2 linked regions of the Arabidopsis thaliana genome follow. The protein of the gene in region 1 interacts with the protein of each later gene in a pairwise test. Each region holds a gene or a part of one and is shown on either strand. Other genes may lie near its edges.

Region 1 (7,952 bases):
GGTCAAAGCCTGAGATATAGGGCATACCAGGGCAGATGATTTATTCTCTCTGAAATTTTTCTCCCATTCCCTTTGAGTCTCTTCCATTTCTTCAAAAGATCCGATAACTTGAGCACGGTTTTCTAACGCTCTCTCCAAGTTGATGTCCGTACTGTTTCCCTTCTCTAAACCATTTGAATTTGACAACTTGTTCAAACTATCGTCTCCCTTCACAACAGCAACATCCACCACGGTTCTAGATACTTGATCATTCTTTTGAGGAAGCATTTCAGTGCGAACTCCATTTTCTTGAAATTCAACCGGATTTCCATCTCTCTTGTAATCCTCAGATACATTTCTGGAAAGTTGAAAAATGTTGGTTATTCTATTACACAACATACATAAGCAAGCTTTACAATTGCTTTACTAATAAAGCGATTTATGATGTATATAATTAGAGAGACGATTTCTAAGCATATAACCTTCAATCTCAAATTTCTAAGCACTGTGTTTCTAGGCAATGCTTGCACAATTTGTAATAGTAAACCACTCATAAATCACTGAGCAGCTAAAGATAACAAAACAGACCTTGCTTCACCACGTCTAATTTGCCGACAAGATCTTCCTTGACGATGTCTCGGTGAGGAAAAATAAGCACACTCGAAACCTCTGTGATGTCTCCTATTCCGGTTTTCCTTGATCTTGTCAGAAGAACCTGGTTCCCTCCTGCGACCTTTCCAGGACAAACTTTTGCCTAACACTAAAAAACAAACAAATCTCCGACACTGAGAGTTGCTCAAATCTCATTAAACCCATGAATCAGAAACTTTCCTCCTATCACATAAAAACTCTAACCTGAGTTACTCTGAGAGTAGCATTCATGATCAGAGTTTGAATCATAATCATCAGACACATCATTATACCCATTTTCCTCTAAGATCGCAAGAACATCAGCAGTTGCCTGTTCAGCCTTCTTCCTCTGTAAAGATACAATCTTGAGCTGTTCCTCTAACTCAGCTACCTAAAGATATTAAGACAGGACATAAGACTAAAGAACATTTCACTGGATCATCCCTACAAATTATAAAAGAACATACTTTATCAGCGAGACCATCAAGCTTTGCTCTAGCACTCTTGGAAACAGCTCTTTCAGCTAATAAACGTGCACGAAGAAACTCAATAGTCACTGAAGTAGGATCTTGTGCCTCTGAATCAATACACCTATAAAAATGTACCAAAACCCAAATCTAAATTTCGATTCGCAAAACGATCTTATTCATCTGGAAAAAAAAAGACAGAACTATACCGATGATGATCTAACTTGTCTTGATTCGCCATCGTGTAGACGAACCAAAAGATCTACGAACTTCGAAGATCGGTGTGAAGAAGAAGACGTCTCTCTCTTTGCTTACACAAGTCAATGAAGATAGTTTTTTTTTTAATCTTTCACTAATGTATTTTACTCTCTTCTCATTGGTTGTAAGTATTTACTAATTTCGATTTTATACTTTTTTGTGTAGTAGACAAAGTCATGGATTTGGATTGAGATTTACAGAAAAAAAAAAGTAAAAAAAAAAAATGTCTTTTTCAGAATAGGAGTAAAATAATATAAATAGAGCGGACGCGAAAAATAAAATGAAATAGAGTTTAATTGGAATCTTTAGGTTACAGGGATTATTTTCTCTTTCCTTCTTCTTCTTCATTGTTCTCTCTCTCTCTATCTCTTCTTCTTCTTCTTCTTCTTCTTCTTCTTTGGATTTTGTGAGCTAATAAACAGAGAGGAATCGCCATAAAAAAACCTACTTTGTCTTTCAACACCGAAATTAAAGGAAATCTCTTTTTCTCTATTGAGCTTTTTTCTTCAGCGGTGAAATCTCCCTTCCTTGTCTCTCAGTAGTGATTTTTACATACAGCTCCGCTCTCAGGTTTCTTCCTCTTTTGATTCTGTTTCCGCTCTTTTTGGGTTTACTTCGGATTTTAATCTTCAGATTGACGAAACCCTAGTTTGATTTTGGTTTCAGAAACGACGAGTCTTCATTGATTTGGTTTCCCCACCAGCTCTTCTTCTTCTTTTTTTGTTCCGAGACCTTTTTGACGGAGGTAGGTACGGAGGGAATCTGGAGTTGGGTTTGAAGGATACTCTTATGCGATTCTTCTGGATAACTTGATGCCGCAGGATCACGCTTCGTGGGATCGGAAAGAGCTCTTGAGGCAAAGGAAACACGATAGGCCTGAACAATCTTTTGAATCCCCGCCTTTTCGATGGAGGGATTCGCCTTCTTCTCACCATGTTCCTCGAGAGTTTTCTTCTCGTTTGGGATCTGGAGACTTCCGCAGACCTTCTTGTAAGACCTCCTTTTCTCTCTCTAATTTAGGGCTTTGAATTCTCCTGCTCTGTTTTTGGTAGAGTCTATTTTTCTGTGGATTTGTTAGATATCCACTTTTCCTTTTTGGTTCTATAATTTTTTTTGAATTGATTTAGAGGCAAATCCTTGTTTCTTAGATTGAGTTCTCACTGTGTCATGATAGCTTAGGGTATTTTTGGAGCATTAACACAGCTCTTAAGATTGATAGGAAGTGAATTGATGAGGTTACTCTTCAAAGGAGCAATTTTTAATACTCAGGTAGATTTAGTTTCATTGCAAGAGGACTTTATTACCTCAATTGTGTTTGTGTTTTGTGTTCATGAATCTTAAAACGGATAAAAAGTCCTAGCATCGTGGAGTGTTGTTAGTTTTAGTTTTACATGTTGTAGATTTAGATGAAGATAGCTCCTACTTTTGCAGGTTTCTTACTTGTATAATTTTTCCTATTAGTATTGAAACCCTGTGTGGGCGTAATGACACTTTTTTCTCCTAACTTGACTTCGTGTTATAATGATTCTAAGTTTGACTTCCTTTTGGAGAATCTTATACTACATGTTTTGACAGCAGTAAAAGTCTAATTTTTTTGGATAGATGTCGTTTTTAGTTTCACAAGTTATATATTTGGTTGAATACAGGTCTTGCTTTAGTTTGTGATTCTCATCTTCCTTTTGTCTTCAAAATTTTCTGAAGGTCATGGTAAGCAGGGTGGACGGCACCAGTTTGTGGAGGAGACTAGTCATGGATACACATCTTCTCGGTCCAGTGCCCGAATGTTTGATAATTATAGGCCATCAGCATCGCGTGGAGACTGGAGATATACCAGGAATTGCAGGGATGATAGAGTTTCTGTAAGCCAAAAGGAATGGAAATGCAATACATGGGAGATGAGCAACGGATCTTCTAGAAGTTTTGAGAGGCCATTTGGTATTAGAAATGGTCGGAGGTCAGTTGATGAAAGGCCGCTACATGCTTCAGATACTCATTCTACCGTGGTGAACTCTTTGGATCCAGCCAACTCGGCTCATTATCTGGACAATGAGATCAGTACCCCAGTACGGTCTCTTAAAATTAAAAATGAGCATAAATTTTCAGATCAAAGGTTATCACTTCCTTCAGATCCTCATTCTGAATGTATTAGCTTGTTTGAACGGCCTTCTTCTGAGAACAATTATGGCAATAAGGTTTGTTCACCAGCAAAGCAATGCAATGATTTGATGTATGGTCGAAGGTTAGTTAGTGATAATTCATTAGATGCTCCAATCCCCAATGCAGAGCTGGAGGGGACTTGGGAACAACTTCGCCTGAAAGACCCGCAAGATAACAATAGTTTACATGGTATCAATGATATAGACGGTGATAGGAAATGTGCAAAGGAGAGTTCTCTGGGAGCAACTGGGAAACTTCCACTGTGGAATAGTTCTGGGAGTTTTGCATCTCAGAGTTCAGGTTTTAGTCATTCAAGTAGCTTGAAAAGCTTGGGGGCTGTTGATTCCAGCGATCGGAAGATTGAGGTTCTTCCTAAAATTGTTACTGTGACTCAATCTTCTTCAGGAGACGCTACTGCCTGTGCCACAACTACTCATCTTTCTGAGGAGATGAGTTCTAGAAAGAAACAACGTCTCGGGTGGGGTGAGGGACTGGCGAAATATGAGAAAAAGAAAGTTGATGTTAACCCAAATGAAGATGGAACAACATTGATGGAAAACGGTTTAGAGGAACTACATTCGTTAAACAAAAATATTGCTGATAAAAGTCCCACAGCAGCCATTGTTCCAGATTATGGTTCCCCTACAACACCATCCTCTGTAGCTTGCAGTTCATCACCAGGTACAATACAATTTGTTAATACTTCTCTCTGCGTGCTCTTCTCATTCCTGATCTATTTGGAGTTATCTGCATTATTTTCATATTACTTGAATTCTTCCATCATGTATCTGTTCTTGTAAACACTGATTTTGTTTTTCTCTTTTTATCATGTCTTCCATTTGTTTTTGTTATCTTCTGCTGGGGACAGTGTAACTCACTCGTAATTTTATTCTTTTGTGTACATTCAGGGTTTGCTGATAAATCATCTCCGAAGGCTGCTATAGCTGCTAGTGATGTCAGTAACATGTGCCGTTCGCCTAGTCCCGTGTCTAGTATTCACCTTGAACGATTCCCAATCAATATCGAGGAGCTCGATAACATCTCAATGGAGCGTTTTGGCTGTTTACTCAATGAGTTACTTGGTACTGATGATTCTGGTACAGGGGATTCCAGTTCTGTCCAATTGACATCAATGAACACATTACTTGCCTGGAAAGGTGAAATTTTGAAAGCTGTGGAGATGACTGAATCAGAAATTGATCTCCTTGAAAACAAACATAGGACACTAAAGCTTGAAGGTAGAAGACACTCTCGTGTTGTTGGACCCAGTTCATACTGTTGTGATGGAGATGCAAATGTGCCCAAGGAGCAGGCTTCTTGTAGTTTGGATCCTAAGGCAACAGCTTCTTCTGTAGCTAAAACACTGGTGAGAGCTCCTGTGCATCAGGCTGGTTTAGCCAAGGTTCCTGCTGATGTTTTTGAAGATAGTCCTGGGGAAGTTAAACCTCTATCCCAATCTTTTGCCACTGTTGAAAGAGAGGAAGATATACTGCCCATACCATCTATGAAGGCAGCTGTTTCTTCGAAAGAGATTAACACACCTGCTTTTGCCAATCAGGAAACTATTGAGGTTTCTTCTGCTGATGACAGCATGGCCTCCAAAGAAGACTTGTTCTGGGCTAAGTTATTATCTGCCAATAAGAAATATGCTTGTGAATCATCTGGAGTATTCAATCAATTGCTTCCAAGAGATTTTAATTCGTCTGACAACTCAAGATTCCCTGGCATATGTCAAACGCAGTTTGATTCTCATGTCCAAGAAAAAATTGCAGATAGGGTAGGCCTATTGAGAGCTAGGGAGAAAATTTTACTCCTTCAGTTTAAAGCGTTTCAGCTCTCATGGAAGAAAGATTTGGATCAGCTAGCTTTAGCAAAGTACCAATCAAAGTCTAGCAAAAAAACAGAACTATATCCGAATGCAAAAAATGGAGGGTATCTGAAGCTTCCCCAATCTGTACGCCTGAGGTTCTCTTCTTCAGGTAAAGTTCTCAAACCTCTTTTCTCTTCTATTTACTCTGATATATTAAGCTTGTCGTGGTTTGTCGCTGTCTGGGATGAAGTTTGGCTTTTATGATGTGTTAGTTGTAGAGACTTGAATTATGTGATTTTTCAAGGGCGTGAGGTGTTGAGAGAAACATATACAACTCTTGAGAACTATTGTTACAGAGCTGTACATAGTGGTCATAATTCATTATTTGCAAGCTAAGTTCAGAGTCATTCCATGCTAACGTGTTTGTTGGATGTTGATAACGCTATTTTAATTTTATGTTAGATGTTGGTTTTATTCTAGTATTATATCCACTGTAATATTCATTTTAACATCTAGCTTGTTTAACGAGGAGGTATAGTTTAAGCAGATGCTTATTTCTTGTCTATCTTTTATGTTGTCGTAGGTAAATATTTGTCTTAGATGCTAACTAGAAAGTATATCAATACGCAGGAGATGATTGCGGTGTAAAAATTTGGGATAATGATCACAGATGAATTGAAGCCTTTTTTCATCGAATTTAAAGTTAATAACTGTTTTACACTACCTGTGCAGCTCCAAGAAGGGATAGTGTAGTCCCCACAACAGAGCTCGTAAGTTATATGGAAAAGCTACTTCCGGGTACCCATCTAAAGCCTTTTAGAGACATTTTGAAAATGCCTGCTATGATTTTGGATGAGAAAGAGAGGGTGATGTCGAGGTTTATTTCTAGCAATGGACTGATTGAAGATCCATGTGACGTTGAGAAGGAAAGAACAATGATTAATCCTTGGACCTCAGAGGAGAAAGAAATCTTTCTGAATTTGCTAGCAATGCATGGGAAGGATTTCAAGAAGATTGCTTCATCTCTTACCCAAAAGACAACTGCGGACTGTATTGATTACTACTACAAAAACCACAAGTCTGATTGTTTTGGGAAAATAAAGAAGCAGCGTGCTTATGGTAAGGAAGGGAAGCACACCTACATGTTGGCTCCACGAAAAAAGTGGAAACGTGAGATGGGGGCTGCCTCTCTTGATATTTTAGGGGATGTCTCCATTATAGCAGCAAACGCTGGAAAGGTTGCATCAACCAGGCCGATCTCTTCCAAAAAGATCACCCTTAGAGGTTGCAGCAGTGCTAATTCATTGCAGCACGATGGAAATAACTCTGAAGGGTGCTCCTACAGTTTTGATTTCCCACGTAAGAGAACTGCTGGTGCAGATGTTTTAGCTGTTGGTCCTTTGTCACCAGAGCAGATAAATTCTTGCTTAAGGACTTCTGTGAGCTCTAGAGAGAGGTGTATGGATCATCTGAAGTTTAATCATGTCGTAAAGAAACCTCGGATATCTCATACTCTACATAATGAGAACAGCAATACTCTACACAATGAGAACAGCAACGAAGAAGATGACTCATGTTCGGAAGAGAGCTGTGGGGAAACAGGTCCTATTCACTGGACAGATGATGAGAGATCTGCCTTTATACAGGGTTTTTCGCTTTTTGGCAAGAATTTTGCTTCAATATCAAGGTACGTCGGGACAAGATCTCCAGATCAGTGTAAGGTTTTCTTCAGCAAAGTTCGGAAATGTCTTGGGTTGGAATCTATAAAGTTTGGATCTGGAAATGTAAGCACATCCGTAAGTGTTGATAATGGCAATGAGGGTGGTGGGAGCGACTTGGAAGATCCTTGTCCTATGGAGAGTAACTCTGGCATAGTGAATAATGGAGTTTGTGCCAAGATGGGTATGAATTCTCCTACCTCACCTTTTAATATGAATCAGGATGGTGTTAATCAATCAGGCTCTGCAAATGTGAAAGCCGACCTTAGTAGATCAGAAGAAGAGAATGGGCAGAAATATTTGTGTCTGAAAGATGATAATAATCTCGTGAACAATGCATATGTCAATGGCGGTTTCCCGAGTCTAGTTTCAGAATCTTGTAGAGATTTGGTAGATATTAATACTGTTGAGAGCCAGTCTCAGGCTGCCGGAAAAAGCAAGAGCAATGATCTCATGTCAATGGAAATCGATGAAGGTGTCTTAACATCTGTCACTATATCTTCCGAGCCATTGTATTGTGGCCTAAGTGTTCTTTCCAATGTTATTGTGGAAACCCCTACAGAAATCTCACGAAAGGGCTCAGGAGATCAAGGTGCTACAATGCCTAAATTTAGTTCAAAGAATCAAGATGGAGTGATGCAAGCTGCAAACAGAACCAGAAATTCTGGCCTTGAACCTGAAAGTGCACCTTCAGGTTTCAGGTACCCTGAGTGTCTTCACCATGTTCCGATTGAGGTGTGTACGGAAAACCCTATAGGCGTCAGTGCACCACGAGGAAATCCAAATTGCCATGCAGAGTCCGAGTCAGGAAATTCTCTTGTTGGACAAGTTGACGAAACACATGACTTGGGTTGGCCCAAGAACAATCTGGAATTGGATGGGAGGCTTCAGGTTTTAGGCCATGTAAACCCTGAGCAGATTGGTCTACTAAAA
Region 2 (3,937 bases), on another chromosome or scaffold:
GTACCTAATTAACGCATCTTCTAACCAAATTTATATAAATGAACATAAAATAATATTGTTTACTTCTTTTGAATATTGACTTACATTCACATTAATCTTTAGTTGAGAAATTAAAAATCAATGGAGTTGTTGAGCTAATGATATGTTTTTGGTGTATAACAGGCGACTTGGTGATATGTCCGGAAGGCACGACGTGTAGAGAAGAGTATCTACTGAGATTTAGCGCTCTATTCGCAGAGCTAAGCGACCGGATTGTGCCAGTAGCGATGAACTGTAAACAAGGAATGTTCAACGGGACCACAGTTAGGGGTGTGAAGTTTTGGGACCCTTACTTCTTCTTCATGAACCCAAGACCAAGCTATGAAGCCACTTTCTTGGATCGTTTGCCTGAAGAAATGACTGTCAACGGTGGTGGCAAGACTCCTATAGAGGTGGCTAATTACGTCCAGAAAGTTATCGGCGCGGTTTTGGGCTTCGAATGCACCGAACTTACTCGCAAGGATAAATATCTTTTGCTTGGAGGTAATGACGGCAAGGTGGAGTCTATCAACAACACCAAGAAGTGAATATCTTATTCTTGTTATAACTTGGCATTGACTTATTGCAAGTAAGGTTGGATCATATACGAATTTTCATGTGTGTAATTGCTTGAGCTCTTGTCATCATTATGGTACGTTATTGTTATGTTTATTCTATTTTGTTCTTAATGTCGAACGGGTAACTATATCCTTAAAAACTATTTTGTGATCCCGTTTCTATACGGATGTGTATAGAGACTTTCTATTTAAAGTGCAAAATTTTATTGGAGGAAGTAAATTTTGGATCATGCAAATGTAAATACATACGACGTATATATGTTTGAATAAAACTATGTTTCGGTGGAATTGTGAATGATTAATTATGGTTTTTTTTTGTTGCAAAAGTAGCAATTTTTTGAAAAAAATAATTAAATTTTTAACAAACTAAATAAGATCATTGTTAACTATACGCTTTTATAAAAAATCTCTTGACAAAAAAACAAAAAAACTTTTTATTACACTGTCATAATTTCTTTTATTTTTAGAGAAATTAGATTCGTTTTACCGAATTGAAAAATGGTGATATCAATATGAGAGTGTAGCAGACGAGAGATCATGAATTTTGAGTTCCAACGTAGAAATGTCTACATTATCATCATGAGAGTGTTGGCGGACAAGAGATCATGAATTTTGAGTTCCAATGTAAAAATGTCTACATTATCATCATTTAAGTAACAGACGAAAACTTGGGATTTGATGTATTATATTATTGGTGCCAATTCATTAAAAAGAAACTCATATTCCTGTATTTTTTGGGATGATTTTATAAACATTGGCAGTAAGAAATGAATATATTTCTGTATATAGATATTTCTGTATATATACAATTAACAGAAAAATGAAATGAAAGCAAAAAAATCATTACAGTGCGAAAATATGTGAAGCAAAAATGTGAAATTATACTTATTATGATTTGTCATTAATGTCATGATCTAAACCTAAATTATTCTTTCATTACAATTTCTATATTAGTTTTTAGTGGGCTTTAATTATACATAATATTAAACTCCTTCACCAAATATTTGTTAATGAGAATGAGATCCATGAGAATGAGATCTTATTATGATTTGTATGAGAATGAGATCCATGGGAACATTAGGCAAATCAAAGATTTGTATATAATAAGCAAAAATGTGAAATTGTACTTATTATGATTAGTCATTAATGTCATGACCTAAACCTAAATTACTCTTTCATTACAATTTCTAACATTAGACAAATCAAAAATTTTTATATAATAAGATTATAAAACTTAACAAATAATATTCTTTGAGATTTAGAATCTTAATTTAATGACAATATTAATTGTTTAACTCATAGAACAATGGAATTTTAACGGGAACTGCTACATTGGAAATATGAAACGATTTGAATAAGGAAAGCAAATTTCGCAATTATTGTTTGAGAATATCGAAATTGATTATAAATATTCCTTTTCACTTATCATCGTTTCGTCACAAACCCTAAGAAGCTTCTCATCTTCCTCACAAACCCTAAGAAGCTTCTCATCTTCTCTTTCTCTCGAAAATTCCGATTTGCTCTTTTGAAACTTCCGATGACGAAGAAACTCGATCCACCAACGGCACCTTCAAGCGACGAAGATGACGTCGAGACTTCCGAAGATGATTCCTCTTCATCTGAAGAAGACGAACCAATCAAATCCCTTCCCGCCACAACCGCCGCTGCTCCTGCTAAATCCACCGCCGTCTCCGCCGCTACTCCAGCTAAATCCACCTCCGTCTCCGCCGCTGCTCCTTCTAAATCCACCGCCGTCTCCGCCGCTGCTGATTCCGATTCTGGTTCGGAGAGTGAAACAGATTCGGATTCTGAATCGACGGATCCTCCGAAATCTGGATCCGGTAAAACAATCGCTTCAAAGAAGAAAGATGATCCGTCGTCGTCGACTGCTACTTTAGCTTTACCGGCGGTGAAATCTGGAGCAAAGAGGGCAGCGAGTGAAGCTGCGACGACTTCAACGAAACGAGTCAAGAAAGATGAAGAGAGTGTAAAGAAGCCAGCACTTTTTCAAAGACTATGGAGTGACGATGACGAAATCTCTATGTTACAAGGAATGATAGATTATCATGCTGATACAGGGAAGTCTCCTTCCGCAGATACTAATGCGTTTTACGAGTTCCAGAAGAAATCTATCAGCTTTGAGGTTAGTAAGAGTCAATTCTCGGATAAGGTTAGGAGTTTAAGGAAGAAGTACCGTGCTAAAGAAGGAAAGGACGAACCTAGGTTTGTGAAAGCTCATGATAAGAAAGCTTTTGAATTGTCAAAGTTTATTTGGGGACCTAAAGGAATAGCTCTTGATTCTAATGCTAAGTCCAACGGTGTGTCGAAAAAGAGTGCGAGTAAGACGAAGGAGAAGCTTGATTCTGTAAAGCAAGACTTGGCGTTTGTTGGTGTTTCTTCAACTAATGGAGATGATTGGTTTGAGAAGTCGTCTCTTGCTAGGATGATTGCTGGTTCGGGTATTGATGAGTATTATGTGAGGCAGAAATGGAGTTCGTTTACTCTTGAGACTAAGAAGATTGTTGAAGAGAAGTTTCAGTTGATGCAAGCTAAAGAGCTTGAGGCTATGTTGGATAAGAGTGTGCGTTTGACTGACCTTACGTCTTACTTCGTTGATGCTTCGAAGAACTAGAGCTACTAGTTACTTAGATTTGTCGGTTTTTTGTATCGTAATGCTATGCATAATGCTTTCTTTTGTTTTTCGGATTTAGGATTTGATTCTTTCTGGTTTGTTTTTTTGGGGTTGAAAGATTCTCTACGTTATAATATTTATTTTTTTATTCGTCAACTTGTCCTTATTATACCTCATCTTTGTCTTTTAGAAGTTCTTGTACCAACTCCAAGAACGAATCTATGTTCCTGACAAAACCGCCTTGTACCATTGTTAGGTAAAGCTTCCCAACCATAAGCATCTGCACTTTGTAACTTGATTGTGTTCTGTGAGAGTTGGAGTTTGAAAATGATGAGTAAACTGTTACATTGAGAAAACAACTCTTACCAAATGAAGATTTTCTCTTCATAAGTTATTTCCAAAATCAGACATTTAGCAAGTTATACCTACTTTGCATCCAAGTCTGTTGGTCACAAAACAAGACCATAGCAATGCAAATATAGCTTGGTTACAAAAAATTTAGTCACATTGCTTCAGGATGATTTAACTATATAAACAACACAGTTTTTGTGTCTGGTATAGAAGATAACACTGTTTTGTTCAAAGCTTTTGACTTATGAACTACAAAAACTAAAGCTTTGTTACTACTATTAAGATACTGCCTAACTCGTCCAAAATAAGCCAAGAAGAAACCTTAATAAAAAGATTATTGACTATGTTACATGCCAAA

The links.
Region 2: the proteins of AT3G52250 (region 1) and AT4G00390 interact in a two-hybrid assay, tested with the Arabidopsis thaliana proteins (one large-scale study listed by BioGRID).

Annotation. Positions count from the first base shown.
Region 1 is NC_003074.8:19,374,483-19,382,434, forward strand, and holds the start of AT3G52250 (Duplicated homeodomain-like superfamily protein), read left to right. Parts: upstream 1-1,655; 5' UTR 1,656-1,904; exon of another isoform or gene 1,905-2,000; 5' UTR 2,001-2,146; coding exon 2,147-2,324; intron 2,325-3,035; coding exon 3,036-4,172; intron 4,173-4,399; coding exon 4,400-5,470; intron 5,471-6,033; coding exon 6,034-7,952. Other genes in the region: AT3G52240 (transcriptional regulator ATRX), read right to left, coding at 28-337, 568-739, 835-1,000, 1,077-1,200, 1,286-1,317.
Region 2 is NC_003075.7:170,941-174,877, reverse strand, and holds AT4G00390 (DNA-binding storekeeper protein-related transcriptional regulator), read left to right. Parts: upstream 1-2,032; 5' UTR 2,033-2,133; coding exon 2,134-3,228; 3' UTR 3,229-3,391; downstream 3,392-3,937. Other genes in the region: GPAT8 (glycerol-3-phosphate acyltransferase 8), read left to right, coding at 163-566.